Linked DNA regions of Mus musculus. The protein of the gene in region 4 purifies or fractionates together with the protein of the main gene of each other region. This does not show direct contact. Links are inferred from orthologs where the notes say so. Each region holds a gene or a part of one and is shown on either strand. Other genes may lie near its edges. The genes, in order: Stk4, Pdcd10, Stk3 and Slmap.

Region 1 (7,326 bases), on a different chromosome or scaffold from region 4:
GAGCGACTTTATTCCTCTTCAAGTGTAAGGAATTCAGATAGATTCTTTCATGTGCTCTGCATTCATAGATATTTCTTTTCTTTTCTTTTCTTTTTTTTTTTTGGTTTTTCGAGACAGGGTTTCTCTGTGTAGCCCTGGCTGTCCTGGAACTCACTCTGTAGACCAGGCTGGCCTTGATCTTACAGAGATCTGCCAGCCTCAGTCTCCTGCGTGTTGGGATTAAAGGTGCCTGCCACCACCGCCCAGCATGTTTGGGAAATTTAAAAGATGATTTTTTCATATCACTGAATGCTGCCCGGGGTATTAATGAAAAAATGTCCATAAGGTTCTAGCGTGTTTCGAGTGAGCACCGTAGCTGTCTGGTTAGGGGGTTTGCATTTTGTTGTTGTCATCTTGTGAAGAAGACAGTTGAGGCACAAGGAGCCAACTTAGGTTATAATAATGTGTATCAGCAGTGGATTGCAGTCTGCCATCTTCTGATTCTAAACCTCTTGTTCTTGTAGCACTTAGACTGAATGAACATAGAACCTTGCTTTTGATAAGCTTTTTGGGGAAGATGAAACACGAGGCAAAAAGATTTGAATGTGCACTGTTCATCTGATTCTGGCACGAAAGAGACTTAGGTTTTCATGAGATTCCATGTTGTATGCCTTGCCGCACATGAGAGGACTAAAGACAGAGAGACTGGTAATAGAGTGGCCATAGAAAACACACATGTGTATTGTGTTGCTGTGAAGGGAAAACGAGCATCGCATTCAGACTGCATGGTTCAGATCATGGCAGCACTTCCACGAGCGTGGGTAATTCATGCGATTGTGCCACACCTGGCCTTGCCTCTCGGTGTCTTATGAATGATCTCCTTCCCCCAAACGCAGGTCTTATGGCAGCGTGTACAAGGCTATTCATAAAGAGACTGGCCAGATTGTTGCAATCAAGCAAGTGCCCGTGGAATCGGACCTGCAGGAGATAATCAAGGAAATCTCCATCATGCAGCAGTGTGACAGGTAAAGCCTCGGGTCCTCTGACAGACAGAGCTCGGCCAGCCTGGCGCCTACAGACTGGAGGGCGGGGCTGGGAACCGCAGGGCATGTTCTTTCTGAAAAATAGGAGAAAGCATGTATGCTTTTGTAGCTAGTTCAGTTTCCATTTTTGTATATTTCCTTCATCAGTCAGACCTTTTAGAGGTCTCTCTTACTTCCTATTGCACATGTAGCTGAGATAATTCAAATACTTTTTAGCTCCAGAAACCATAGCATAGCAGGTTGGTGTATAAAAAAGAGAATATTTGCTTAGGTACCGTTTCTTTTTTGCCGTTAAGAATGATTCGGGTCAAGAGTCCTTAAGTGTTTTATTTTTGAGGAACTAAGATTTGTCAAGCTCTAAGCAGGAAGTTGGCCCCAAAGTCAACCACAGAAGAGCACGTGATCTGCCCTGAAGTTCCATGACAACTTGCTGGTTGACGGAGCAGGCCTGGGCTCTGCTCTGTTAGATGTACAAGTACAGTGACGGACTGTGCCAGGTCCTGGGGTTTGGGGTGTGGGCGAGGGGCCGGGGGGGGGGGGGGGGGAGCATGGTCAGTCGCTCCGAGGCCAGTCTGGGCAGATGAGTCTGTTACCTCCTGTCCTCGTGTTCCTCAGGCTTCAGCGGTAGACTGGGCAGTGCATCTTGTTACTTTGCAGCGACCTCAGAGCTCCCTGACTTTGAAGTGCAGCTGCTGCTCATCTGCCTCTGCTTTATTTACTTATTTCTCTCTTTGTGGTTACTGTCTGTATGGTGCCTTGTACCGCACAAACTCCTCCACCCCGCCCCACAGCTGGATCGGTGGAATTAAGTTAGCAGGTTTTCTTCTTAGCCACATGATGTACTTACTCGAACTCTCTTTAGTTGGTGAATGGGAACTGTATCTAGACAGAGTATGGAAATGCTTCTAACTAAAGATTTGACTTTTAAAGATTTATATATTTTTACTTTTTATGTGTATGCCTGCATGTATGTATGAGGCCCACGTGTGGGCCTGAAGCCTGTGGAGGCTAGGAGATGGATGGTATCCAATCCTCTGGAATTGAGTTACGGACAGTTGTGAGCTGCCATGTGGGTGCTGGGAGCTGGGTCCTCTGCAAGAGCATCATGTGCTAAGAAATGATGTGTGAAGGTCTCTGTGTCAAACTGAATTAAAAAAAGACAGGGCAGAGTCATTGTGTCCTGGGAGTTTTGTCTGTTTGTTTGTTTCTTTGTTTTATTTATTTAGTTATTTTGTTTTTCGAGACAGGGTTTCTCTGTATAGTCTTGGCTGTCCTGGAACTCACTTTGTAGACCAGGCTGGCCTCAAACTCAGAAATCCGCCTGTCTCTGCCTCCCAAGTGCTGGGATTAAAGGCGTGCGCCACCACCGCCCGGCTCTTTGTTTTATTTTTCTGTCACTGTCTTTTGAGTAAAGGGAGGGTTTAGGGGACCTTTGTCTGGCTTACTAGAAAAAGTGGCCGGAGGAAGAGTGTCAGTAGGTTTCCTCTGTTCTCTGGGAGTTGACAGCCCAGGCATGAGCAGTGCAGGAAATGCTAGCCGGGGCAGTACAAGGCTGCACAGATCTTATCCCAACACTAAAGTCCGTGCCTACAGAGGAGAGGGAGCAGAGCACCCGGATTGGGAACCGCAGGCTCACTTACCTGTGCTTTCACGAAATCTCATTTTATGTGCCCTGTCTTCTTTGCCACTGGCACATGTCCCAAGGATGAAGGGGCGTTTGCAATCAAAAGTCAAGGAAGCCAGGATAGTTTTAGCTTCTTTTGTTGCTCTGCAACCCAGCTTTCAACAGTAGTCCAGCTGTTAATGGCACAGGTGTGGAGACAGCGTTCATTTTCCTGAGATGCTTGGCTTCTCACATATTTCTTACTTGGTGTCTCTCAGCAAATTTAAGACCAGGGGTCCAGATTTGATGCTAAGTAGTCTTCTTTCTTTATACTATACAGTGATGATCTTGTTACTCCCAATTATATCATGGCTTTGGAAAAAAAGAGAAAGAAGAAAGATTACTTTACGTCACTGTTACGGATCCCTTGGTGTATCTGTCCCTGTCTCACTGGGCGTTTGACTGTGTTTGCTTTGCTGGTTTATAGCTTAGCTTCCCCTTTCTTACGCTGTTTGTTGTTTTGTTTTTTTTTTTAATTTAAATTTCATGTCTGTGTATCACTTGCATGCCTGGTGCTAGAAGACAAAAGAGGACATTAGGTCCCTGGAACTAGCATTACAGACAGTTATGAGCCACCATGTGGGGTTGGGAACCAAACCCATGTCCTCTAGAAGATCAGCAAGTGCCCTTAACAGCTGATCCATGTCTCTACTCCCAGGATATATTACACTATGTATTAACCATTCCTCTAACATGTTCTGTGGACTTGTATTTAGTATGTGGTAGGCTGTTATTTATTTCTTAGGTTCCCTCATGTTGGCTGCTCACCTCATGTCTCCTTTATCAGGTCTGTGTTCATAGCTAATTTTTTGAGAATCTGTGATTCTTTTCTAAAGAAAAGTTATACACTTAGAAATACTGTTCCCTTGGTTTGAATCTGCATATTACTCTTAGGGAAAGCTATCGCTTGTCTTCTCCTCGAGAGATTGCTTTTGTTAGTCCTAACTAGAAATAATTCGTTTTTATGAAATGAGAAGTTACTTTCCATGCATTGAACAGAATGAATTAAAATGTTTGACGAACATTCCACTGAATTGTATTGTGTCTCTTTCCAGCCCTCACGTAGTCAAGTATTATGGCAGCTACTTTAAGAACACAGACCTGTGGATTGTTATGGAGTACTGTGGGGCTGGTTCTGTATCTGATATCATTCGGCTACGGAACAAGACGGTAAGCTTACCTCCTAGGACGGGGCTGAGGGAGAGCGGTTTCTCCCGCTTCTTCTGGCCTTTTGTGCGTGTGTAGAAACACACGGAGAAATGACTGTCATTTTCCCTTTTCCTTGGGTCTCTGCTCTCTTATACTCACCTCCCCCAACCTCAAACGAGGAGAATCTCAGTGTGGTCTCTTACCTTTGATCCCTCTGGCTCAGCCCGAGTGCTAGGTCCCGGGGTCAGCCACCTTGCTCGATTCCCTTCTAACCACGGCAGCTCGATACTGACTTGTTCCAGTGGGTTTTGCTTATTTCTTATTAGGCGAAACAGCTGTCAAACCATGGTTTAGGGATGAGTTTTCATTCTTTTATAAGGATTTCATGGGGAAGAGTAAGTAACCAGGAGCTGACAGTGTAGCCCAGGCTGGCCGTGGACTCACACTCCTCCTGTGTCATTCTCCCTACCATGCCTGGCTGCTCTAGAGTGACTTTTAAAAATACTTGATCTTTTAAAGGTTATATGATGGCAATTTCTGAATCTAATGATAGCTTAATACTAGCTTATTAGTCTACATGACTTATTTTGCTGTGTGTTACATAAAAACCATTTAGTGTGACCACTGCCAGCCACAGATGACTAGAAGTATTGTTTCAATTTGAAGAAATATGACCACAGAAAGACATAAAAAGTTGGCCGGGCAGTGGTGGCGCATGCCTTTAATCCCAGCACTTGGGAGGCAGAGGCAGGTGGGTTTCTGAGTTTGAAGTCAGCCTGGTCTATAGAGTGAGTTCCAGGACAACCAGGTCTACACAGAGAAACTCTGTCTCGAAAAACAAACAAACAAACAGACATAAAAGTTTAATATTTCTCATGATAGAACCAATCTTCAAAAAAAGAGAAAAAAGATAACAGTAGACTGATGGTACTGTTGTGCTAAGTGACATTGCCCAGGCTGAAACCACAGACACTGCTTGCTCTCTTGGCCTGGGTGTGTTCTGATGTGGATCTCAGCCTCTCATGTTTTATAAGCGTTGTCTATGTGGGGGTGGGGAGGGTAGATGCCAGGAAACTAGAATGGGGCCCACATGAGGCAGTGAAATTTTGACTTTAAGCAGAAAATTGCCTTACAATTAAATCTAAGTAGATGGTAGCTATATTTAACCCTGAAGTCATGATGGGTTGGGGATCTGACCACCTGTGAGACATCTGAAGTTCCCGTTCTGTTCCTTTGGGAGTCACTGTTGAGGTTCGCTTGCAGAACATTTCCCCTGCTGATCGTTAATGCTGAGATAACGTGCTGGTCTTTCCACTGCTTCCTCCAAGTTTCATATTTGTCCTTGTTTTGATGATTTCTCTCCTTACTAGTCCTCATTCAGCAATTTCAAGTCTTAGAATAAAAGTGAAAGAAAGTAGTGCCCCAAGTGCAGGCTGCTCCCTCTGATCCTGGGTCCCTGTGTGCACAGCTTACTCCCCACAGGCTGCTCCCTCTGATCCTGGGTCCCTGTGTGCACAGCTCACTCCCAAATGTGACTTGGTTGTCACACGGGAACTGTGTGAGGGTTTGATGGGATCTGTTTAGGACTTGAGTCTGCTCAGAGATCTGTGCCAGCCTCTAGCCTCTAGCACTGAGATTCTAGAGCAATTTCATTTACCACGGCTACAAGAGTAAACAATAAAAGCCAGGATTTTTTTTTTTTTTTTTAAAGATCTATTTTATTTACATGAGTACACTGTAGCTGTCTTCGGACATACCAGAAGAGGGCATCAGATCCCATTACAGATGGTTGTGAGCCACCATTTGTTTGCTGGGAATTGAACCCAGGACCTCTGGAAGAACAGCCCATGCTCTTAACTGCTGAGCCATCTCTCCAGCCCAAAAGCCAGTTTTTAATGGAGCATGTATCTGTAACAAGGAAGACTGCATTGTATGTTAGATTATAACAGAGAATGACCTAGGCATGGAGAAGGAAAGGATTCTGCTGTTTTGATAAGTGACATTTGGGCGAACTGAGGAAGGCCTGCAGTACAGATAGATGTAGGGAGGGAGAGCCTCAGGTAGATAGACCAGGCAGGTGAGAAGAGCCAGGGGACCAGAGCTCAGGGCTCGGAGTTCACAGGGAACAGGGAACGGGAAGGACAGAGCAAGGTTGAAGCAGCTGTGTGTCACGGAGTTTGGATGTAGCTTTTCTCTTTTCTCCTATTTGATGTTAACAGGCTTGAGACATCTTACTGTTTTTTGTTTTTCAGTTAACAGAAGATGAAATAGCTACAATATTACAATCAACTCTTAAGGGACTAGAATACCTTCATTTTATGAGAAAAATACACCGAGATATCAAGGCGGGAAATATTTTGCTAAACACAGAAGGCCATGCAAAGCTTGCAGACTTTGGAGTCGCAGGTCAACTTACAGTAAGTGGAAGTGGTGACTGGTACCAGTACTGTAGGCTGTGTCTTGAGAAGCCAATTCCAATAAGTGACTTTATGTGTGTGTGTGTGTGTGCGTGTGTGTGCGTGTGTGTGCGCATGCATGCATGCCTGTTGACTCACGTGCACATTTGTGTGCTGTGGAAGCCAGAGTTTATGTTGATTGTGGTAGTTGATCTCCACCTTCCTTTCTGAGACACTGTCCTTCACTGACTGGTCATTGATTCAGATAGGCTGACTGGCTGGTGAGCTCCAGGAGTCCGTCTGTGTCTGCCCACCAGTTAGGGGTTACGGGAGCATGCTATCGCATCCTGCGTTGTGTGGAGCTGGAGAACTGTACTCAGCTTTTCAGGGATACATGGCAAATGCCTTACTGACCGAGACATCACTCCAACCACTACTTTCTCACTTTTTAAAAATATAATACTTGCTTTAATTGTGTCAGTAGAAATGTGTAGGATTTACGAGTACATTATCTAAGAGCTAATAGGAGTCTTTGATCTTTTCTGAAATCCGGGTTCCATGTTTCAGTCCTCCTATAGAAATGAAAATACCATAAGAAATGAACCTTAGTTTAAATCTGATACATCAGGTACATAAAAGCTTCATTAAGCCAGACTGCTTTCCTCCAGCAAGGCAGGGACTCCTCCTATCTGCTTCCAAGCAGCTCAGCTGCTGCGCTAGAAGCCTCCTGCCTGCTTCAGTGTTGGCTCTTGATTTTCCTCCTGTTCGCCAGTGCTTGCCAGTGAGAAAGAAAACTGTTCAAAACGGAGGTGGAGGGTGGGGGTGGCATGGGAAGTGGATGGGTAGGGGGTTGGGAATTGGGGGTGGGGTGGTGAATGTGAAAGTCTATGTAGGAAAATGGAAACAGTTCTACAATTAAGCCAACCAGTTTCCCGGGCAGTACAGGGAAAACTGGGTCTCACCCTCCCCACGCCCCTTTTCTCCCCAGCTACAGATCTTTTGTTTTATTTTGTTTGGAGACAAGGTTTCACTCTAGCCCTGGCTGGTCTAGAACTCTGAATGTAGACCACCAGGCTGGCCTTGATAGAAATCTGCC
Region 2 (7,798 bases), on a different chromosome or scaffold from region 4:
CAATCTCACACGTAAAACACACTCAACTAATTCATAGGTGGATGAATCAAAGGATCATTCCTATGGGTTTTCAAGGGACCATTCTGACTGAGGAAAGGGAGGTTAATTTCCAGTGCATGCCCAATAATTCAGTATAAACTAATGATTATAACAATCCTTGTGCTCTCTTTCATTCCTACAGTAACACCAGATTCCAAGCAACTGTAATAGGAGATTAAATAAGTTCAAATCACTTTTGGGTAGTTTCGAAAAAATGGCTTCCCATACTCCAAATGTAAAGGTGGCCTTGAAAAATAAGGCTAATATTGTGATGCCAGCCAAGGTGTGTTTTGTAGCTTAAATAAAATGCCTATGTTTATATAAAATTTAATTATGAAATTCATTTCAATTGCAGCAAATAAATTAATTCTAATTGCCTTAATAGAAGTACTTTAAATTTTATTTTTATGAATGTGTATAAATATTCTACTGCCCTAAGTCTGAAACACACAGTATTTTAAATGCAATGAAGTATAAAATTATACCATCTTCTATATATTTCAGAAGAAAATTTATATACTAGCTTAAAATTCTTAGTAATACCACCTATTGTAATAACCCTAATACTCTATCAACACATAAATAATTGCTTAATCTCCTGCAAACTGCATTATGTAAGGTAAATATTAAGTTGTTATTGAAGATTCAAATAATATTCAGACTATCATCCAAAAAGTACCAAGTAAGCTTAGAATTTAGCAAAAACCATGGTTAATAATAAACCTTACCACATCATCAAAACTGAAAGCAAACACAATCCTCTACTGGGAAGTGTACTGGTAAGAAAACAGATGAGTAAAGGCTACATACATAGCTCAGAGCTAAGATAGAAGAAGTGAGAAGGCCTTGCTCCGATAATGTTTAGTGAGATGTTAAAACATTGTTAAATCAGTATAGAAATAATAAGCTCCTACTGTGAAAAGTGTCAATAGTATGTAAGTGTCAATTATATGGGGAAGAGTGGGAATCTACTCTGGTTTATTATATTAGTATGCTACTGAGAAAAATTACAGAATTTTGTCTTCTAGAGAAAATCTAGCCTTTTATATCCTTAAAATTTTGTTTGCAAACTTAAAAACATTTTTAATCTTAGAAGTGTCATATGTTCAAAAAAGTAAAATATTACCTTAAATCCCTCAATTATAACGTTTTTCAAGACAGTGTTTCTCTGTGTAGCCCTGGCTGTCCTGGAACTCACTCTATATACACCAGGCTGGTCTCGAACTCAGAGATATACTTGCTTATGCCTCTGAAGTGCCAGAATTGAAGGCATACCCTACCACTGCCCTGCTTCAAATATAACTTACAAGAAGTGCAAAATATAAGTTCCTCTGAAATTAGAAAGTTAGTTTCCCAAAATCATCTTCTCTCAAGGTTGTATTAAATCCTGGGTATAACCACAACCAACCAACTAAAACAAACAAACATAGGAGAGGTTTATACTCAAATCTTGGCTCTAGTCCTTCCAAGACTTTAGCAATGCATTGTATTCTTCTGAGTCCCAAGGAGTAAATTTACTTCTAGTTTTGGTGTCCTTAGCTACAAGGTAAGTGAAATAATTGTTTTGAAGTTAAAATCTAAGGGAAGAATAGAGTCCATAAAAACCTTCTTCCATATCTATATTTTGTTATAATGAATCTTATTTGCTTTTTAAAAAGGCAGTAGCAAGGTTTTCTAAAATGCTAAGTTACACAGAAGTTTTGCTGTAAAAGAAAATAAAACTCCCTTATACTAGACAGGTGGAAAGTTGGAATTTGTAAAATTGTCCCCAAATCAGGAAGAAACTTATATGAGAAAAAAAGGTGACAGCTGAGAATAAGTTTGGAGACATTCAGGAAATTGAGGACAAATTAGTAGCATTAAACAGAATAAGGAGATAGTGACATCTGTAATGGTCAGTCTTTTTCTTACATAAAATAATCGAAGTTTGAACACAATATTAAAACCTATAGTGAAAATACATGGATTAATTATAAGCTGATCTTTTCCAGGTCATATGACCTTGGGAAAGTCACCTAGCCATTCCTTTTCCATTCCCCTTAGCCACTCAATTATTCTACCAAGACTAAAAAGATAAATAATATATAGACCCTGTTCTTACAGACTACTCTTTAAGAGAGAGATGGCTCTTTAAGGAAAACCTCCAAAGTCCTGCAATGGATAGTGTCTGAGAGTTGATGCAAAGCTCTTTAAGGGAACAAATGTGGGCAAAGAGAGCTGCACACTACAGGCAAACATCCGATCTGTGAGCTCTAGCTAGAGCCTGAAGGATGTTCAAAATCATCTTCTCTGTTCATCTCACTGTTCATCTCAGCACTTACACTGTAGTGACGATGAAACAGGACAGTATGATGGGCCTCAGAGATACAGACAGAGTTGGAGTAGGACTAAATCAAAGACAAAACTTTTTTTGTTGTTAAAAAAGTCCTTCCATAACCAACACAGCTGTGTGCCACTTAAAACTTATTTCATACCTTTCCCAGCAAACAACAAATGTCCACACTGTCATCTAGAAAATATATTAGCATTCTTGCTTTACCAGCACTGACTTACATATGGCCCACTCAAATTAATGCACTTCAAACTCCACTTCAAAACCAATTAATCCCAGATAATTTCCCTTTTGTTAGTGACTTTTCCCTTACTGTGACGTGTGGTGTTACATTATTCCTGATTTTGCTTCATTTTATGGTACCACAACTCTCCATTTTCTTTAAAAGTCCCCTTCAAACAAGACCATTTTGACTGGTTCTTCTGATCCCAGAAACAGCTTTGCATTAAAAAAAAATTAATATTAATCATGGCAAGCAAAGCACATTCAATATATAGCATATATACTTACAGTACATACTATGTATTTATATTTTAATTTACATAGTAAGCCTGCAGTTCTTTCCATTCAATATAGAAGCATCATTTTTATCATTCATTAACATTAAATAAGAATGAATTAAAACTCACTGATGATGCCAAGAAAAGAAAATATACAAGTGTATGTTTTACTGTCTACACATGGAGTGAAGAAAATGAGAGAAAAGTAAAAACCTGACCCCCCCCCCCAAAGGGTCACTTCTTGTAATGAACATGGTACAATTTCTCCAAGATTCTGCACTTAATTTTCACTTAATGAAAGCATGAATATCTGTAAAGTAAGTTCTGTGAAAGTTTCACCCATAGTTTTTGAAAATGGTAAGAAAATAGAAATGAAAAGGACTATTCTCTTAATGGCAACACTGAGCTATTCCTAAATATTATCTATCCTTTAAAAATGGCGTGTGGAAAGTGAGTGTTATCATTCAGTAGACCCCAGAAAAAGGGGTAAAGATCTAAGCTAAAGCGATCCTTCCTGTTTTACAGAACATTAGAGAGGATGCTTTGGCAAAGCTTCCACTCCACGTCAACAAACCAACTCTCTGCACCTCACAACCGTTTCTGACAAACAGGCACACTACTTTGCAACTTCTTCTATCTGCTTCCAGTACTACCACCCACCTCCCCACTCTTTCTTCCTAAGCCGACAACTCTGGTCAGAAACTGGACTTTCGGAGGACTAGACTCTGAAGATCTGTGTGACCTTGGGCACGTCATTTGCTTCTACAGTAGTCTCATTAGCATCCCAAAGTGAAAGCGCTTCGAGGGCACTTGAGAAGTATACATCCATCTGACGTATTGGAGTCAAGAGGCACAAACCTTCCGAGTTAAGAATCACCTCCTCAGAGAGGAAATTGGAACTGAGTCGGAACTGTCAACACTGTCTCTCTTCTTCCCTCAAAGGGCATAACCCCAGCCACACCGGGAGGCGACTCCCGGGCACCCACGCTCCCTCCAGGCCTAGCCAAGCTTTAGCCTCACCTGCCCGGGACCTCACCCCACCACATCCGCCCCCTCGGTCAGTGGAGACCCGGGAGGCCGACCTCACCCTTCCCCTCCACCCAAACCCACAGCGGACTTCCTGGAGGCGCCGGGCCGGGCTGGGCAGGAGGCATTTACAAACCCAGCTTTCCGCAGCTCGCGTAGAGACCTCGCTGACGCCCACAAGGCCCGGCTCCCCACCCGTCCGCCCCGCCGGCCAGAGCCTAGCCTCAGCACCTCCGCCTCGGTCCCCGCCTGACCCCAGGCCGCTCTGGCTGCCCACGGAGCCGTGCGGACCCGAACCGAGAAACCTCGCCTTACCGGCAACTGAGGCACGGACTTCACTTCCCACCTTTGGAGCCCTCTTCAACTCCCGGATCAATTCACTCCGGCGACGCCGGAAGGACCCGAAAGGAACCAGGCGTTGTCCGGAATCCTGCCCAGCAGGAGTCGCGCAAGGCCCGATGGGGATTTGTAGTTCCGCCCTCCATTTCCGTTAGCACTTCCTGCAATAGTAAGACTACATTTCCCAGAAGGCTGTGCGAGAACGCCTTAGGCAATAGGTGGGGACACTTCTAGCAAATCAGAAGAGAGTTCCCTGTCTTTGAGGGAGGGGAGGAGATGAAGAGAGAGCGCGCCCAGAAACGAGGGAGGGCGGGGCCGAGTCTCACCTGCACCAATCAGAATGAGAAGATAGCCCACAACGCCACGCCCACCGATGGGAGGTGCCCTCGGATGGGTGTAAAGAAAAGGGCGGGGGGCCAGAGGTAGCAAGCGACAGGAGGCTGGGCTGAGTCCATGGGTAGGCGGGGAGGAAGGCTCTAGGGGCTAGACCGGTGGGCTCCGCCTACTCCGAAGCAACAGTACCCCCATACCCCCAAAGGACAGCCCACTCCCGTGTTCACTGGACCAGCCGGCTAAAAGAGCTAAGCAGGACCTGAGGAAGGGCCAGGTGCGATGCCAGAGGGGAGAAAGTCCGAAATGAAGGGGTCAGAGCACCAGGAACTAAGAGACCTCGGGTACCGCTCTGCGCCTAGGCTGCGCAGATGGCAGTGGGAGGAGCCGCAGCCCGAGCTTCGGCCAATTAGAGGCGGGGAAGGCGGAGCTTGAATCTCAGAAGAAGCTTCAGCTCAGCCTAGTCTGTAGTTTCCCTGGAGAGAGGCAAGAGCAGCATCCGGAGCAGTCTCAGCCTGCCCAGCATCCTCTCCAGCATCCCGAGCGGGGATTGCAGGTGTGAAGGAGGTAAGCGTGGGCGCCACTTGCGGGCTACAGCACAGCAACCTGGGGAGGAAGGCATCTGACAATAGGAACGCCTGGATACTGGAGGAAAGAGTGCTATGTTGACTTAGGATCGCGGTGCAAACCTTTTCAGTACAATTACGTACAATTACAGACTTTGGTAGAGAGAGAGAAAAAAAACAAAAAACAAAAGGTAACTCTGCCTGGGATATTAAGGGCGTGGTTAAGGATTTTGTTTTGAGTTGCACCATTAAAACTGGTCTGGGAGATCACAAGATTGAAGAAAGCCCTGCTAATTGAGTACCAGGTGGATGGTGTCAAGCTAGATGCGTAGCTGTTAAAAAGGCAAAATTGGCATTGATAGAGAACCACTTTGTAACTGTTTCACTAAGAAAATAACTTTGTCCTCTTCAGTGCCTGACGCTTGTGTTAGTTTATCAGATTGTCCTGCCACGGACAGTCTATCCAAGATAACCGGTTGTATTGCAGGGTCTTTGGATTGCAAAAGATATGGGTTAAAGAAGCAAATAATAAGATAGGATGGGTTCCGGCTAAACCTATCCTAAGTATAACTTTTACCAGCATTAATGAGAAAATAAATTGAAATGGGTGGGTATTTGGCTTTTCCTTCCTGCTGGCGCTGGAATATTGAAACAAAGACCTGGGTTTAGCCTACAACGGGAACATATGGTGTACTTCCTCGCTGCTTCTTATTCTCTCATTTGTGTCCGGTAACGTTTGTTCGTGTTTTAAAAACAGGAGTACAAGGGAACTGTGTGGAGGAGCTTTCCTCTATTGAAGAGAGTATGTGTAAAATGATAACCTTTAGTATTTTATAATGGGCTCTCATTTTAGAGGTATATAGTATCACACAATAATAGTTCATTCTCATTGTGTGTATACTCTTTTGAATGCTAGTAATACATACGGGTGGAATTATGTTGTAATACTTGTTATGTTAGGTAGTCAATCCTACCTTTGCACCTATGACAGATTACAGCCTTTTGGGTTGGAAAAGTACTAAAATTCTACGTGCTTAGTTCATTTTTTTGTTGTGAAATAGTGTCCCAGATTATATGCCTGTTAGTCATGTAGCATATTGCAGCATACTCTGCTCTGAAATGGCTTTCTTGTGACAGTTGACTATTCCATAGGGTGCCAGAATACTTGAGATTGTTTAAAGAGGGGTCAATAAGATCCAGAAATCACCTTCTATTTTCTTCTTTTGTCATACTATTCTGGTTTACTGCAAGATTTTGAATTTTGTTTTTGCAGTGCACACAAGATGCCTTCTAAAACTAAAGTGGCTCAAAGGTATTCTCTCCATTACTTAAGGTTCAGTCCTACTAAGTGCAGATACTGATGAGAGATGCCCACTACTAAATTAATTAAATCCTTTTCTCCCACATTCTAATACACCAAAGACCTGGGCACACAGAGAAATCTTAAAAAATAAATAAATAAGCAAAACCAAGAAATATCTAGGCTTAGATTAAGCAGATCATGTAAGTATTCGAAAAAAGCTATAGAAGCCACTAAACTTAGCAGTGACAGTAAGGATGGATGTTATCTTTGGTATACTACTAGAAACCTATTAATTGGCATAGCCATCTGGCTATGTGATCTCCAGAAAATGCTTTTGGGAGAGAAAATGTGATCTGGTGGTTTAATAAAACTTGGAAAAGGTTGTCCTTGCCCTTGTTATGTGTGATGGTAGGTGCATGGTCCTGAGTCCGTCTTAGATGTTCAGGCTCTTTGCTGATTCACTTGGAAACTGAATACCTGTTGTCTCTGGTTATTCCCTCCACACACACAAAAAAAAGATAATAGTTAATTATGTGACTGGCAATGAAGTTCTTTTAGAGCCTTTGTAAGAATGACCTTTTGAAAGAATTTGATGGAAATCAGTAAATAACAAAGAAAATAAATGGATAGAAAACAATTTACATGAAAACAGCTGAAATGAAGATGTTTTTAAAATCTCATCTAACTACATAAATAGTAGGCTCTGAGATATCCTAAGACTACAGACTCATTAAGAATGAATGAGATTTCAATTTTAAAATGCCTAATATTCCCCTGTTTGTGAGATCAGATCCATTTAGGAATGTCAGTGGACTAAGTTCTTGTGTTGTTTTGGGAATAAGACTTGTGTTTCTATATGAGAGCAAATTGTGAGTATATCATACTTGGACAGTTATTTCACCTTGAACTCTTTATCTAGTTTAATTAACATTTATATCAATTTCAAATAACCTGTTTTTTTTTTCTTGGTTAGTGTTGGGAAAGGTCATTCAATTTATATAAAGTATGATATATGAAATAAAGCAGATTATTTATCCTGCTGGTCTATCCAGTGGAAACTGCTCAGGGGATGACTCCCTTTTAGCCAAAAGACTTGGTTAATTTCAAATGGCACTGTCTTTTGGACCTCTCTTTAAATTTAAAATTCTGATTCTAAGTCTATGGAGTGAAAGTAAATTGACTTGAATGCATTTCTAGCAGGAGGTTTGGAGGCTGTCCTTGACACAACAGAGAAACCACTCACAGGTTCCAGATCAAATGGTTTGGGAGTGAACTGGAAACAGGGAAATAGATATTTATAAAAATGATTGAGAAACATACCCTAGACATTAGAGAAAAGATACTTAATATTTTGTGTTAAATG
Region 3 (7,786 bases), on a different chromosome or scaffold from region 4:
AAAGTTCACCAAAGACAACTCCATCTTCAGCCATGAATAGAAATATCTGACTTATGATTATTTTCATTTTCAATTATGCAAATATTCTCTGAACCGCTAATTCTTTTACTTCCATCTTCACTTTCCTTCCTTCCCATCATCCACTCATAGCATTTCTTCAGTTTACAGCTTGAAGTTGCCTATCGTGAAAGGATGTGTCAACAGCTTACTCACACGCCTTTCCACTGTCTTCACTGTTCCACATCAACTTTTTCTACTACACGCTAATTAATTAATTTCAAATTTTACATAATTTTTATTTAAAATTTGCCAATTTTAAATATAGTTGAAAGCAAGACCCATTTGGTAAATCATGTCTCTCTGACAATGATAACCATCCTTGCTTCAGCAAAAATTATACAAAATGCTGCAGAATGCTGGGCCATCTTGGGGGTGGGAAGGGATGCAATTGAGAAGAGATGCATACCGAGGGTTTCATATGTATTTAGAATATTGCATTTCTTAAGCTGAATGCTGATACATAAGTACTTATTAAATTAGTTCTCATTATGTTTTAGATCCCTAAAATTTTGTAATGCAAAAAGAATATAGCACACAATCAAATGAATATCATATTAGGAGTCCTGAGGAGTATCTCAGGTTGGACAGAAGTATTCAGAGAAGAAACTTTTGAAGCAGGCTTTAAAGGAAGAATAAAACAGACTACAGGAAAAAATGATAATGCTGATAGCAATAACAAACCTTTCTTTCTTTCTTTCTTTTCTTTTCTTTTTTTCTTCCCTCCTGCCCCCCCCCAACCTCCCTCCCCTTTGAGACAGTATCTTTCTCTATAATCCAAGCTAGCCTGGACTATACTGCATGTAGCCAAGGCTGCCCTCAAATCTATAGTGATCTTCCCTTCTCAGCCTATGGACTAGGATTACAGGCATGCACCAGCATAGTAAGCTGACACAAACTTTTTTAAAGGAACGGCACAGATCAAAGCAAAACTAGGCAAGCCCCTGCCCTACAGCCCAAATAAAGGCTTCATCTTGTCAGATAGTAACAGAATGAGCTGGGAGGAGACCACAGACTGGATATCTAACAGAGGGGAAAAGCCAAACCTGGAATGATATTTTAGCAAAATAAACTGGAAACTACATGCAGGAAAAGTAAAGCCAACTGTGTTCTATGGAGTCCTGGTTCTGCAAGACAGCAAAGGGACAAGCGTCTAGAAGCCAGGCCCCATACCCTGCCACTACTTCAAAGCACAGCCCTTCCACTGTCAAACAGTTTTTGAAAAGTGCAACACGGAAGTGCCCAGCTGGGAGGCACTGCTGCAACTCAAGTGTGTTAGTCCCTCTGAAATATAGTAGTCATCTTAAAAATGAGAAGGGGAAACAAAAAGTGAACCCACAAACTTGTTAATAGAAAATTTTCTGGGACCTAATGGGAAACTAAATAAAAGGAGGAAGGACTAGCCCCACATGAAAAAAAAAAAAAAAATCAAACCGTCAACTAAGAGCAGCAACTAATCATACTGGCTCAGACGAGAACAGCCCAGCTCTGCCATGGAAATGCTTCTGAAATACTAAGACAGTGATACTCCCGGCATTCCTACTGAGATTAGAAATGGTGAGCAGAGGGATCCAGAAGGTGTAGAAACAATGACCACTATGTGATAGAATTATAAACGGCACCACTCTACATAATAAAGGAATATACCACTTTTGCAGCCCATCACATCTGGTGCTCTGAGTTCACTTATAAATAAAATACAAGCTACCACGCTGAACTGAACATGCTGTGAAGCACTTCACATGAGCCCATTTCATTCCCATGATACAGTTTACAGGTGAAGACATTTACATTTAGAACTAGCATAGGAAGTGGTAGGGCCAGGATTATTATTTCCAAAAGTGAATACCCAAAGCAGGGTATGTAGCAATCTTATCACATAAAAATGTTTCAGATAGACCATGCAGATGAGGGTTCATGAGCCTTCTAAACAGCAGAACAAAATACCTAATGAGGCTCTGAGAACAAAAGCCCAACATTAAGTCACAATGAGTAAACTTCCTAGCAAACAATAAGATTTCAAAAATGGTAGTTATGCTTCATGATAGACAACAAAGGTCAAAGAGGCTACACAGAAACTCACTGTCAGTAACACACAAGCTTCAATTTGGTGAATTCCTAGTCTCTTCATCTATAAAATGAGATTTTATAATCTTTTTCTAATGCAACCTACTGCATAGAGTTGTTGTGAGGATAAACACTATTAATTTGGAAATGCTATAAAATAAAACACTGAGATACTAAGATATAAAAGATTAGCAGTCTGTATCTTTTGCTTATTGCAAATGTCTTCTTGTTGGGACACCAAGATAACGCACTAGATAAAGACACCGGCCACCAAGCCAGATCACCTGAGTTTAAGCCCCAGAACTCAGTGAAAGGAGAGAAACAACTCCTGTAAGCTGTGCTGACTTACACACACGTCATGGCCTGGGTTTACAGAAACACACACACATGAGGTGGAGGGCAGGGATACCAAATCAACAAAATGGAATTTTAAAAACAATCCCTTCCTGCACAGGAACTATATCCTAGTCCCAACTATTCCTGAGTCAAAGGCAGAAGGAGCTCTTAAACCCAGGCACTCAAGCCACACTGCACAACATATGAGGGGAAAAACAAAAGAACTAAAAGAATTGCATTTCTAGATTAAAATGAGTCTTTGAAGAAATGGAAATTTAAAATGTAAAGTTTTATGTGCAAGCATGGCTTTGTAAAGTATAAGTCACGATGGAATTGTCACCCACAACTTCTGATTGTCCAGGTTCACTAATGTCAAGTGCAGGCATTTTCTTACAGCTATAATGAAACTGATAATTTACAGTACAGCCAACCAGCACAGATCTTTTATTTCAATTCAGTCATTCCAGCTGGCCTATGCCATAGTCTCAAAGATCTCCCCTTTACTGCCCTTCCAAAACAGAAAGAAAAAAAAGTTTCAGGTTTTCTTCTGTTATTGTGGGGAAGGCGAGTATCCAGGGACTACCAGAGGAAAGACACCAATAACATGCTAGAATCTAACAACTGACTTGCTTCCAGGGCCCAGAAGGATAGCCTGTCCCTTCTGGGAAACTGTCCACATCCTCCCCTTTTTTGCATCTGAACAGATGGTTTCCAGAAACCAAGGCTCACATGTCTAATCACACAATTCACAACGGTTCTCAAAGTGCCTACCTTTTTAACGATTCCACCTCATGAGTCTAACACCTTACATCTAAATATCTCTAGATATTAGAGCACATGAAGACTTTAATCTTCACTATAGCACTCTCTTAGACAGTTTTGTAAATTATAAATGAAAGTGAGGTTAAATGTTTTACCCAGCGTCAAACAATTATTTTATTCATTCATGGAGAACAGGGAGAAGACATTATGAACGTTTATCAATGGACATTTAGTTTCCTAAGATGATTGAAATGATTAGTTCAAACATATTGTACACAGATGCATCCAATATGTCCATGATTAAACATAAACAATATATAGCATACCAAAGTATCACTGTTTTTATGTGCAAAACTATATGGGGGAGAGGTTCTAAGTTAACATTCCATCTATCTTGGATCCATAAATTCTTTAGAACTTTGGGGGGAGGGGGGAAACACCTGTCATTGCTGCACATCCATAATGTTTTACATTCTGCGTGGCTATTAATATACTTAATTCCTTAAACTGTAAATAAGCGATCTGTCTTCACAAAGTGAATGGTTATATTATTAAGAAGACTTGATCGAGAGAGAGAGAGAGAGAGAGAGAGAGAGAGAGAGTGTGAGAGAGAGAGAGAGAGAGAGAGAGAGAGAGAATAAGAGAAGCGTGCATTGATGTCCTTATCTCCAGGTTTCTGGAATTTACTACTCAAACCCTCCTAGCCACCAGAAGGGCCGGGAACCCAGCGAGGGCCACTCAATTTGCGGCGCACCAGGCCCTCAAGACGTCGGCACGGAGACTCGGCGTCCCCTCTGGGTCCCTGGCCTCGCAGAGGGACGGAGCCGAACGGTGGGCGCCTGGACCAGGCTGCGCTCAGCGCCGAGCAGGCGGGGACAGGGTCGCGGCGGCAGGCCGGGCCTAGTAGCCCCCGCCCCGCGCCGCTGCTTCCGTCCTCATCCCGCTCCCGCCGTCGTTACCTCTTGGACGCCGGCGGCTGCTCCATGGCGGCCGGTGGCAGAAAGAAGGGCCGAATGGACCGTGAAGGCCGTAGGGAGGAAAGGAGCCCGGGAGCAGCCGGCCGAACGCAAGGGATCACACCGGGAAACTCGAACCAACTTTCACGTAACTCCGCGGCGGATCTCCCTCCCGCTCCTCAACGCGGTTCCTCCCGGCCGCCCCGCCCCGCCCCTCGGCCGTGGCCTGCAGCTCCGAGCTGGTGGGAAGAGGCCGGCGCAGCGAGGGTGGGCGGGACGGAGCGCGGACAGGGAGGGTGGGCGGAGCGTGTCCCGGGAAAGTGGGCGGAACCTAGCGCGGTCCAGAAGAGTGGGCGGGCCCTAGCTCAGCCAGGGATAGTGAACAGGATGCGCCCTGGAAGGCGGGCGGGCCTTAGCAGGGCTAGGGAGGGTGGGCGGAGCGCAGCCCGGGAAGGGTGGGCGGGTCCAAGCGCTGGTGAGAGTAGTGGAGAAAGGCCACCAAAAGGAGTGCCCAGCTCAGAAAGAAGATGTCTTGCTACCAGAGTGAGACTTTGGCAACCCAAAAGCTACTGTGCTGGTGGAGGGGTGCTAGTCCACTAGAGATTTGACTCATTTCTCAGGATTCCCCAAGAATACATGCCAATCATCTTGTAAATCTGTTTGAAGTAAAACTGCCCTCACTTCCCTCTCTTGTCCTGTTTATAATTATTAGTTATTATTAGCTACGTTCCCCTGCCCCCCAAGCCAATTGGCATTTGTAACTATAGTAGTTGGGATACTTCTGGAAATTCTGGTTGATTTTGATTGTATACAAGCATAATAATTACAGTCCAATGACAGAAAATATTTACTGCAGTGATCTCTTGGTGCACAAATTTAGAACACCAGAGTCTTGCTGGATGCCCTGTTGGGTAACATGGAAAGCCCATGACTAGTTATAGTGCTTGGAAAAAGATACTAAAGGAATATCTTTCTTTTTTTCTTGGGTCCCCGACCCCGACAGCCCTAACCCCCATTGAACTTGACCCCTTACACATTCATTTGTCTACTATTTAACCATAAAATACACACACACATCTTCTCACAACTATACAAATGAGTTTGCTTATTTTTTTTTCTAGAATATTCTTTAAAACGAATTGGGCAAAGTTTTCTTAGAGGTTGGAGCCATGTGTATGAAGTCAATATTAGTCAAAATGAGTATCAACTGAAACTAAATAAGACACACACCTTGATATCTATTTCATCTACTCAGGACAATAGGAACAATAACAAAAACTAAGTGATTAAAATGTCAATACTGGGCCATGAGGGGGTTCTGTAAGCAAAGGCACTTGCCACACAATCCTGATGAGTCTACAAGTGTAAAGAGAGAACAGACTTTACAAAGTTGTCCTTGGCTTACACACACACACACCCTTGCCACATCTCTCTCACACATGCACACACTTCCACACCCTCATCATGCACACACACAGTAATGCCAGCCTTTATATATATGAGTATGCTGTAATTTTCCTCAGACATACCAGAAGACGGCATCAGATCCCACTACAAATGGTTGTGAGCCGCATGTGGTTGCTGGGAATTGAACTCACATCCTCTGGAACAGAAGTCAGTGCTCTTAACCATTGAACCCCAGTACCAGCTTTTAAAATGTCAGTACTGGGAATCACCACTGAAACTCTCCTGCCCACCTCGCATTCTCCTAACTTCCACATCAACCTCATTTTTTTCCTGTTTCAGCAGAAAGCATCTTGAGAAGTTCATCTCATGATTTTTTTTCAATTTATCAAACATTAAGATGGGCTCAGTTTATCATCCTTTACAATGGGTTCCTTGTCTTAGCAACTTTATCCTCCAGGAAGTCATCCCAGTCCAGCCAAGCACAGCAGTCAGTGGTGTTGGCGGCATATGCTTATGATTGGTGCTCTGTGCTGAACATTTTCTTCTCAGGCAGTCATCCAACCTAAATGTGAGTCATCTGAGAGCCAACCCATAGCATCCTCTCTCTCTGCTTGTCACCTAAGCAACAGCCTGACACATCCAGCTCTGGGCTGGGGTTTTGCTATCCAGGTTTGCAATCCTATCCTACTGTACCAGCTTCCTGTAGTGAATGCCAACGAGTACCGCGCTTCCCAGGCCACTTGTGCTTTGGGGATAAATGCAGGAGAAAGTCAGGAAGAAAGGAACTCGAATATTTGTTTATTCTTCTGATGATCATCTACTGAGGTCACCTAAAGTGTTCCTTTCAAGACAAGCTAACAACTTGCCTCCCTTGCCCTTGTCCCTCTGGGACTAGGGGTTTGTGGTGCTTTGAATGAGAATGGCTCACATAGATTCTAATAGCTCCTGGTTTTATCAGATTGTAAACTCATCCAAGATACCTCTGAAGACACCCTATAATTTCACCCATCAGAAAAAAGCAATGGAGAAGGGGTTTCTTAGCAACTCTTGAGAGCCTACATCTACAATTAATCAAAAAGAGAAGTTACAATGACTCTTCTCTTTCCTTTAATGTGACCAGTTATTCTGACTCAATCATGGACTGGTCTAGAAATCAATCCCTATCAGCCAGCTGAGTTAACCTAGAGTGTAGTCTCCTCTGTTACTGGAAAGCGAGTGCTTTCTATCAATTCTCAAAGGCACCCCATACACCTGGTAGCCAGACTTAGTGTTTGACCTTTGCCAATTAGCAGCTGAATTAAATACCTGGGACATTCCAGCAGACAACTTTAATCTTGTTGCTTTTAACTTTTGGAGACAAGATTGGTTGCCTTCACACAGGATCGCTTTCAACAAGCACAGCTATTCACTGTTGTAGCCCCCGAATTTCTGATGTTAACTCTCTGTGGTTAATTGCCCTGCTTCTTAGAAGCCTCACCAAAGAGGCTCCAGTGTTGTGTACAGATGGTTTGCCTCTGCATATTTTCCCACAGAAACCCCTCCTTTCTGTGACAAGCAGCTGGTTTCTGTGCTGCGTCCCCCTGCAGCAAGCCCAGGGCTCCCTTCCCCTCTCTGGCCTCTCTGAGAAAACCCAGCCCAGAGTTAGAATGGCACTGCCCATAAACCCCCCTTAATAAAAGCACCTGAGGGATCCAGATGCCAGCCTCCCTGCCTCTGCAACACCAGAATCTAGGCCTCCCTCTGATAAACAGCGGAGCTCTCTAGGTGCCTGTTCTTGGGACCTTAGAGAAATAACAAATTCAAAGAAGATTAAAGTCCCACATTTAAATCATAGGAAAAAAGGTAATTAGAAGTCACAGACAGTTATGGCTGGTCATAAAAATTAGTTCTTGATAACCCCACAAAAGACACTCTTTAATCTCCCTCCCAGATTCAGTTCCATCCCACCAAATGGTATCATGTTTGAGTTACACCCTGCTGGCTATCCCTGCCTCCACTCCCCTTTACCCTAGGTACTCAAGGAATCCCTAACTGCACTGTATATAAACTCAGTGCTTTCCCAACTCGTTATTGCATGCCAGTAGAGGCGGATGATCCGAGTCCAGACTCGAAATAAAGGCTCTCTTGCAAATTGTGGCAGATTTCGAAATTCTTGGCCTCATCTGGGTTTCCCGTGGACTCAGGGCATAATATTCACTATG
Region 4 (7,762 bases):
CTGAACATCTATGAGCTGAATAACTAAATTTTCAAGTAACGAGTGGCCAAGGCCTGCAACTCTAACACTGAGAGTGCTGAAGAAAGAGTCCTGCCTCAAGCAGTCATGGACACAGGGTCTTCTCTGGACCATGTCTCAAAATTCCAACACATGCTTCAAGTATTCATTACTTATTCCAGCTTTTACTAGGCCTTCATAATGGCAACTACAAAACAGGTCTCCAACAAAGTCAAACAAAGGACACATTACTCCAGTTGTTCCCTCCAAGGCAAAATGCCTATTGGAACAAAGTTACCAACTTCACTACCTTCTATTTTTAACATTTCTTCTATAGCTGTCATTGTATTTAACAATTTCTGGACTTGGGATGTAGCTCAGTTGGTAGAGTGCTTTCTTAGCCTGTACAAAGTCCTGGGTTCAGTCCTCAACACTAATAAAACTGGATGTAGAGGCCTGAGTCCCCACTCTCTGGGCCTGTACTGAGTGTGAAGTGAGCTCAGCATACAGGAGCTCCTGTCTAAAAAGGAAAAAAAAAGTACTGCTTTCCCAAGACGCCACAGCACACAGCAGTTCAAAGGGCGCTGATGTTGGCTCATGCTTCCCCACGAACACCCTTGTACGAAATCCTGAGCTTTAACACGTGCCAAGCACCGGGTACTATGTGATTTGCATAAATAGTCTGAATCCCAAGACAGCAAAGGGGGCAGTGAGCATGGCTCAGTGGCAGAACTAGTGTTTAGTGCAGACGAGCCCAAAATTTCTTTTTATCCCAAAAATAAAAACTTTAAGAAGGCAATACTATCCACAGATAAGAAAACTCCGGCTGGGCAGAGGTGGCACAGGCCTTTAATCTCAGCACTTGGGAGGCAGAGGCAGGTGGATTTCTGAGTTCAAGGTCAGCCTAGGCTACAGTACAAAGTGAGTTCCAGGACAGCCAGGGCTACACAGAGAAACCCTGTCTTGAAAAAAAGAAAAGAAAGAAAAGAAAAGAAAACTCAGGCTTAGTAGTGTTTTAAAACAATCTTTCCTGAGATGATACCTATGAGTGGATTCTTGCATTTTTATGCATCATAAATTTCAAGGAATATATATTAGGTCTGGTGGGGGGCGGCTGTCATGAGCCTGACACAGGAGAGCTCTTAAAACTTCACACACAAAGCAATAAATAGTATTTGGACAAACTGATTTGGTTTTCTTTGTTATCTCCCAGGATCTGGCCCAGAATACATGCTCAATAAAAAAACCTGTCTGTCTAAGCCAATACTTTAAAATTAATTCCTAAAATAATTTGATCACAAAGGGAAAACCTAACAGATTGAAACTGTTTAAACTAAATTAGGTGGTATAATAATAATTACACAAAATATACCGTCAAGCCCTTAGTGCTATTTTAGCCAATGACACAAAAGGAAAAAAAGTAAAAGAGGGAGAAATAAACTAAGTCTACCGTGAGAACTCTGCAGATCCTCTCTTCATCCTGAGTTTCTGAGACAGAGCTTCGTTATATACCTGAGCTGGTGATCTTAAGCTCATTAAGCAAACTGGGCTAGCCTCGAACATGATGCCTTCTTCCTGCCTTCTGAGAGACAGGCTTACAGGGGAGAGCCACTGCACCAGGCACGAGTTTTCAACTAAGAACTGCAGTGGGCAAAGCACGTGCTGTAAGCAAATCTGTCATCTGATTCGGCTGGACCTGTTTCCCAAGCACACAAAAATGTAAAAATGTAAAAGTTGACTGTATTTAGTCACTAGCAGCCAACTAATACTGGAATTCAATAACGAACTCCAGAGTCATTTACAAAGAATCACAGGTCATCCACGAATCATCCAAATGTTAGCTTTCAGGGAAGAGAAAAGTGTCTCTCTTATGGGTTAAAGAGCCTCTGGTGTAACTCAGAAAAAGTTAACACACTTTTCAGTTTTCATCCTACACACAGAATAGGTTATAACCACTATGCAAGCACACAGCACTTGGGGATCTTTCCTTCCTTTTTTTTTTTTTTAGATAGCATTTACTTAGTAATTCCTTAATTCAGTAGCTGCCCTAGCATTACTTTCTTCCTCTAAAGGCTCAAGTTTCTTTCATTTCAAAACACCACTCTTGAAGACAAATTCTTCTCTTAAAAAAAAAAAAAAAAAAAAAGACTTACTCATGTCACTCAGAAAGAGGGGGCGAAAAGTCAAGAGACAAAACTGGAGACAGTCCTATTAGTCTTATGTAACTTAGTTTGAGTTGGAATTATTTCAGTAGTTCAACGAAAGCCTTAGGTTTAGGCCCAAAGAAGAGTTCTTTAAAATATTCTCCATTCGTGCAAATTCTTGAAAAACTAAAAAGATCCTTTTTATTTTAAAATAAGTAACTAGCAAAGTACAGTGCCAAGATAAACAAGGTAAATTGGATTAAAAATTAAAAGCAAGGCCCAGCATGGTGAGCTTTAATTCCAGCACTTGGGAGGCAGAGGCAGGGAAATCTCTGAGTTTGAGGCCAGCCTGATCTACAGAGTGAGTTCCAGGCCAGTTGGTCCCTGTCTTTAAAATATATGTGTGTGTGTGTGTGTGTGTGTGTGTGTGTGTGTGTGTATTAGACAATATTGGATATAATCTAAAAATAAGCTAACTTATTAATACTAATTTTTGCATATCATCATATAATTACACATTATCTACCAAAGAAATTGAGAAGTGACTTTCAAGAGCAATAGATTTCTGTTGATCCAACTTGCAAACAGAACTCCAAAGATGTAGTTACTTACTCTAGCTTAATTAAATTGCCTTTAATATTTACAAATTATTTCATCGGGGCAAGTAAGTATCAATCGTTACAAACAGTAACTTTGCACTCCAGTTATCCTACCAGACAAGGTCCTGAGTTGAATTCAACTACAAGCCATGTGTTAACTACATTTCACCATAGACACTTGAGCCTCGATGTAACAGAGGCCACAAATTCCGGCATTGCTCTGGGAACCACTGCTTGCTTAATCAAGCACCGACCTGCAGATTCACCCTTCTAAAAGGACTGAAAGTCAGAGGTCAAGTTTCACTATCTACCTTTCCTAAACGAATTAGGGTTTGGGATTTCACTGGGAATGACCAAGTTTATCAAGAAGCCATCGCCCTGCCGAGACATTTAGTAACAATACCTTCTCTGTTTTTCATTCAACCACTTCGATTCCATTTCCACTAGAATTCAGACACACACAAAAAGCTGATTCCGAGGCCTCGCAGAAAAGTGTCCTCTGGGAAGAAACCCTGAGATCGTTGCATACATTACACCTCTCAGAGAAGGTGAAGGGAAAGGAAAGGAAAGGAAAGGAAAGGAAAGGAAAGGAAAGGAAAGGAAAGACTGTCAAACACTATAGCGACATTACCTTGCTCGTCTTGTGATCAAACCAGACGAGGGCATGGTTCCTTGACAGCACTTTGCAATCAAAGGTGGCATTATTCTGCGCTGGTCGACAGCGTGCCACCGAGCGGCCGATCTTGATGGGCTCGTCCAGGTAGACATGACGCTCCTGAAACGGGTGCGAGTTCGGGCGGCAAGTGAAGATGGCCAAGGCTGACGGCATCGAGGACAGGCTGGGGGGTGTCTGGACCAGGGACAATGAGGAGCTCCTCCAGGTTCGGAATGCTCTTCTCAAGCCTACACCCCCTAACCCCCCAAAATTTTTAAATTAAAACAAACTGCGCATTGTCTAAGCATAACCAGTGAACATCAACAACTCTTCAATTGGGCAGGAGGACAAGCCAGCGCAAGCCCCATCACCTCCTTTAAAATACAGAGGCACCTTGACCAAAAAAAGTCCCCAACTAGCAGCTTTCAGTCCATCTTCCCTAGGAAGAAAAGGCTCAAACATTGGGCAGCTTCGGCCAAGAAAACTCCTGGAAGACAGTTTGGGGACAGGAGGTATCCGAGCAGATGAGTCACACACCAGTTCTTGTGTTTTGTTTGAGATCCCGGCCGCTTGTCCCCTTCGGTAGCGGAAACGGTGCAGCACTGCAGCATGAAGAGGGTTGACTCGCGCAGCCAGGAAGGTCCTTCGGGGCTCAAGGAAGAGGCGCGGAGGACCTCCGGGCAGCCACCGCGGGGCCTCGGGGCTGAGAAGAGGTGCGGGGACGGACGAGGAGGACTAGAGGGCCAGCGGGCCGGGCTGCATTGCCCTGCTGCGCCGAGGCCGCCCGGGAGTGGCAGGGGTCCCCGGCCCAGCGTGAGCCGAGGCTGCGATCCCGGGCTGGAGGCGTGGGAGGGCTGCCGGGGCACGGGCGGCGTCTGGGTCGCGAGTCCCGGGCACCTGACGGGTGTCCCCGCGACCAGGGCGGGGACCCGGCTCTGCAGGCCGGTGCGGACAGAGCGAGGAGCTACCCCGGGGAGGCTCGGGCGACCGGGCGGGCGAGCGGGCCGACGGGCGGGCCGGCGGGAAGTTGGTTTCTCGGAGCTCTCGGGCTCTGCTGCTCAGCACATGGGCCACCTCCCCTCAGGAGCGTCCTCGCGAGGGTCGCATCGCAGGGACTGGCGGCTCCCGCAGGACGACGGGGTGGGGGAGGGAGGCTGGCCCGGAGGTGGAGGGAGAGGCCTGGAGGCCGGGGCTGGGTCCGCCGCAGCCTCCTCCACTCGCAGCCAGTGCGGCAAGCTCAGGCGGTGGCGGACGAGGCAGGAAACTTTCCGACCTAGGCGGGGAGACACCAAAACAAACGGCAGTCAGGGACCGGCGCCCGCTCGCCTCAGCCCTCGCCCCCTTCAGCCAGCCCCCGCCAGTCCCCGGCCGCTGCCTCCGACCTCGGGCGACCTCTCCTTGCTCAGGCTACGGGATTCCGGAGCCAGGACGGAACGTCGGCTCCTTCCTCCCTTGCCGCCACCGCCGCCACCACCTCCGCCGCCGCCTCAGCTTACCTTGCCAGCGTTGGCCGCCATAGTGACTCTGACTGAAACCTACCGGGTGCACCGCCACGGGAACGCGCACCCTTTTCAAGGGCCCTCCTCCGCCGGCTCCCGTGCCGTAGATAGGGGGTATCATGTGATTGACGCCGTGGAAGCCATGTTTGTCACTGGCAGGGAAGAAGGCAAGCTTATTTTTAACATGACCCCTGGCGCCATCTTTGTTAAGGGCCAGAAGCTTCAAAGCTCCAGACAACCTTAAGGGCCATTTTGGTTAAGGGCAAGAGAAACTTTGAGGGGTTGAATGTTTCAAAAGCACACACAGCGGCAACATATGAATAAGAAAGTACCTACAAGTACCTACGTGTACTAAGTGTGTTTACTACAGTTCTCACTGAAAATACTAACACGTGCGGAGAATAATTCCATGCAAAGGACATACTCATTAGCAGTCATCGTAGCTGTGGGCAACTGAGTCACTCACCACTGCTCTACAGATGACCAAATTCCACAAGTCCCTAGACTTAATGACACCTGAAGGACTTTCCTCCCTCTGCTAATTCACCGGGCTTTATGAATTCCATCCCAAATTCCTGTCCTTTTCACTGATGCGACTATGTTTCTCAGAACTCCTTCGTGGGTTCTAACGTGGAGAACAGAAAGTTGTGGGGGGTTTTTTGGAGTGGGGGAGGATTTTGTTGGGGTAATGGTAGGGTTAGTGACAGGGTTTCTCTGGCTGTCCAGGAGCCCTTTAAGTAGATCAAGCTGGCCTACAACTCAGAAATCTACCTGCCACTGCCTCCAGCGTGTTGGGATTAAAGGTGTGCGCCACCACACCCTACTTGAGACCAGAAAGTTTTAAAACACGTTTCCAAAGAGGGGTCAAGGTCGAAAGTTACTAATAGGAAAATACAGAGAATAACCCAACCAACAATCCTGAAGTCTGTGTTAAGCCTGGGAATTGCGAGGAGAAAGACCAGTATGTATGGAGTCATTGTTCCAAAGAAGAAAAAACCGTGGCTCGAGCTGAAAGAAAACCTTAGGAAAGACTGTAGAGAATCTTAATCTCTTCAAATCAGTGTTGACTTCATTCTTGAGATTCCTGTGACCACAGACTTCCCTGAGAAACGTTGGACATGGCTTTAAACTTCTTTAGGATACTTTTTCTCTTCTATAACATAATGACAAGACACAACCCCCTTGCAGAGAGGCTTTGTGGTGTCAAACCACATTAACAGTATTCATTTCATTGCTTCTGTAATGCTATGCTGTGTCTAAGTGACACAGATGAGCACAGCCTTAGTCTCTGCCCTCTGGTTATAGAACCAGTGTAGTGGGTTTGAAACTGAAGGAACAAAATAAGGCAAAGACTCTGATATATTCAGAGCTCTTCTAAAGGGAGGGAGGCAGGGACATCCTCCAAGGAGAAGTCACAAAAACTGAATGAAGAAAGGTTGAAGGACTATAATAAATACAGTATTTGTTGAATGGTTTTTCTAAATTGCCAGGAAGAGGGACATTAAGTAGTGAAATGAAGCTTTTAAAGGAATACACTCATGTGCCTGGCACAAAGGCTAAGTAAATATTCAATGCCTGAATGAAAATACCATGCTTGTTATTAGAGGATAAAGTAGGGGCAGCACAAAGTGAATTTGGACACAATAAGTAATGTATTATAAAGTCACACTAGGGGGGCTGGTGAGATAGCTCAGCAGTTAAGAGCACCAACTACTCTCCCGAAGGTCCTGAATTCAAATTCCAGCAACCCTCCATAACAAAATCTGACACCCTCTTCTGGAGTGTCTGCAGACAGCTACAGTGTACTTACAGATAATAAATAAATAGATCTTTAAAAAATAAAAAATGAAGTCACGCTAGAGTATGTGTGCATGCGTGGGCTCATGCTTGAAGCTTAAATTCATGGTAATATGAATGTCCAAGACCTGACCTTTCACACGTTTTTACAGTTCTTCATCATTTCAACAAATACATTGAATAACTACAGTATCCCAGGCATTTTGACCTAGAGAATAAAGATATACTGAAGAGTTTTATTATTAGAAGATGAAAATGTTTTGCTTCTGATAACTTTTAGCCTTAAAACAATAAAACAGACCAGGTGTGGTAGAGCATGCCTGTCTCTAATGAGGTGTGTGCACGAATTTTAAAGTTATTTATGCATTTTTTTGTTCATTCAACAAACATTTAATTGACTACCCACTAGGAGAGAGAAACTGTAAAATGACCTGGAATTTCAAAAGTGAAGAAGAGAGTGGAAAAAATGAATCCCTAAAGTTTCTTACAGTTTAGATGGAGACACAATAAGATCCTTGCAGTATTTGGAATAACTCAAAAGTATTGAGAGTACAGAAGAACAATGTAAACTGGAGCAGCATGGTGACCTGGCATTTGCATGGCCTTAGGTGCACCCTAGTAGCACAAATAGAAAATTAAAACCACCGGGCAGTGGTGGCACACGCCTCTCTCTAATCCCAGCATTTGGGAGGCAGAGGCAGGCAGATTTCTGAGTTCAAGGCCAGCCTGGTCTACAGAGTGAGTTCCAGGACAGCCAGGGCTATACAGAGAAACCCTATCTCAAAAAAAACTAAAAGAGGAGAGAGAGAGAGAGAGAGAGAGAGAGAGAGAGAGAGATAAAACCAAAATGTTGTAATAAGTCAGTTAATCTGGTACTAATGAGATTGTAGGGATAATCTCTTGTGCACTTTGTGCACTATGTAAAAGCATCACCTGTCAATGAAGAGCTGAATGGCCTATATAGCAGGAGAGAAAAGAATAGGAAGGCAGGATACCTGGCAAAGAGAGAGGAACTCTGGGAAAGACTCAGGCTCAGGAAGATGTGCCACCAATATGTAGGAGGAAGTCAGA

The links.
Region 1: the proteins of Slmap (region 4) and Stk4 purify together in Homo sapiens (co-immunoprecipitation; 3 studies listed by BioGRID and IntAct, with this or other methods). This does not show direct contact. The link is inferred for Mus musculus from reciprocal best matches to the Homo sapiens genes SLMAP and STK4.
Region 2: the proteins of Slmap (region 4) and Pdcd10 purify together in Homo sapiens (affinity purification with mass spectrometry; 3 studies listed by BioGRID and IntAct, counting the BioPlex papers as one, with this or other methods). This does not show direct contact. The link is inferred for Mus musculus from reciprocal best matches to the Homo sapiens genes SLMAP and PDCD10.
Region 3: the proteins of Slmap (region 4) and Stk3 purify together in Homo sapiens (affinity purification with western blotting; 3 studies listed by BioGRID and IntAct, with this or other methods). This does not show direct contact. The link is inferred for Mus musculus from reciprocal best matches to the Homo sapiens genes SLMAP and STK3.

What each region holds. Positions count from the first base shown.
Region 1 is NC_000068.7:164,082,755-164,090,080, forward strand, and holds part of Stk4 (serine/threonine-protein kinase 4 precursor), read left to right. Parts: exon of another isoform or gene 1-875; coding exon 876-1,004; intron 1,005-3,740; coding exon 3,741-3,855; intron 3,856-6,086; coding exon 6,087-6,251; intron 6,252-7,326. UniProt on the Homo sapiens protein: Stress-activated, pro-apoptotic kinase which, following caspase-cleavage, enters the nucleus and induces chromatin condensation followed by internucleosomal DNA fragmentation.
Region 2 is NC_000069.6:75,552,510-75,560,307, forward strand, and holds the start of Pdcd10 (programmed cell death protein 10), read right to left. Parts: upstream 4,344-7,798; 5' UTR 4,213-4,343; intron 1-4,212. UniProt on the Homo sapiens protein: Promotes cell proliferation. Modulates apoptotic pathways. Increases mitogen-activated protein kinase activity and STK26 activity. Important for cell migration, and for normal structure and assembly of the Golgi complex.
Region 3 is NC_000081.6:35,151,346-35,159,131, forward strand, and holds the start of Stk3 (serine/threonine-protein kinase 3), read right to left. Parts: upstream 4,462-7,786; 5' UTR 4,208-4,461; coding exon 4,182-4,207; intron 1-4,181. UniProt on the Homo sapiens protein: Stress-activated, pro-apoptotic kinase which, following caspase-cleavage, enters the nucleus and induces chromatin condensation followed by internucleosomal DNA fragmentation.
Region 4 is NC_000080.6:26,529,957-26,537,718, forward strand, and holds the start of Slmap (sarcolemmal membrane-associated protein), read right to left. Parts: upstream 4,669-7,762; 5' UTR 3,570-4,668; coding exon 3,372-3,569; intron 1-3,371. UniProt on the Homo sapiens protein: Associates with the striatin-interacting phosphatase and kinase (STRIPAK) core complex, forming the extended (SIKE1:SLMAP)STRIPAK complex.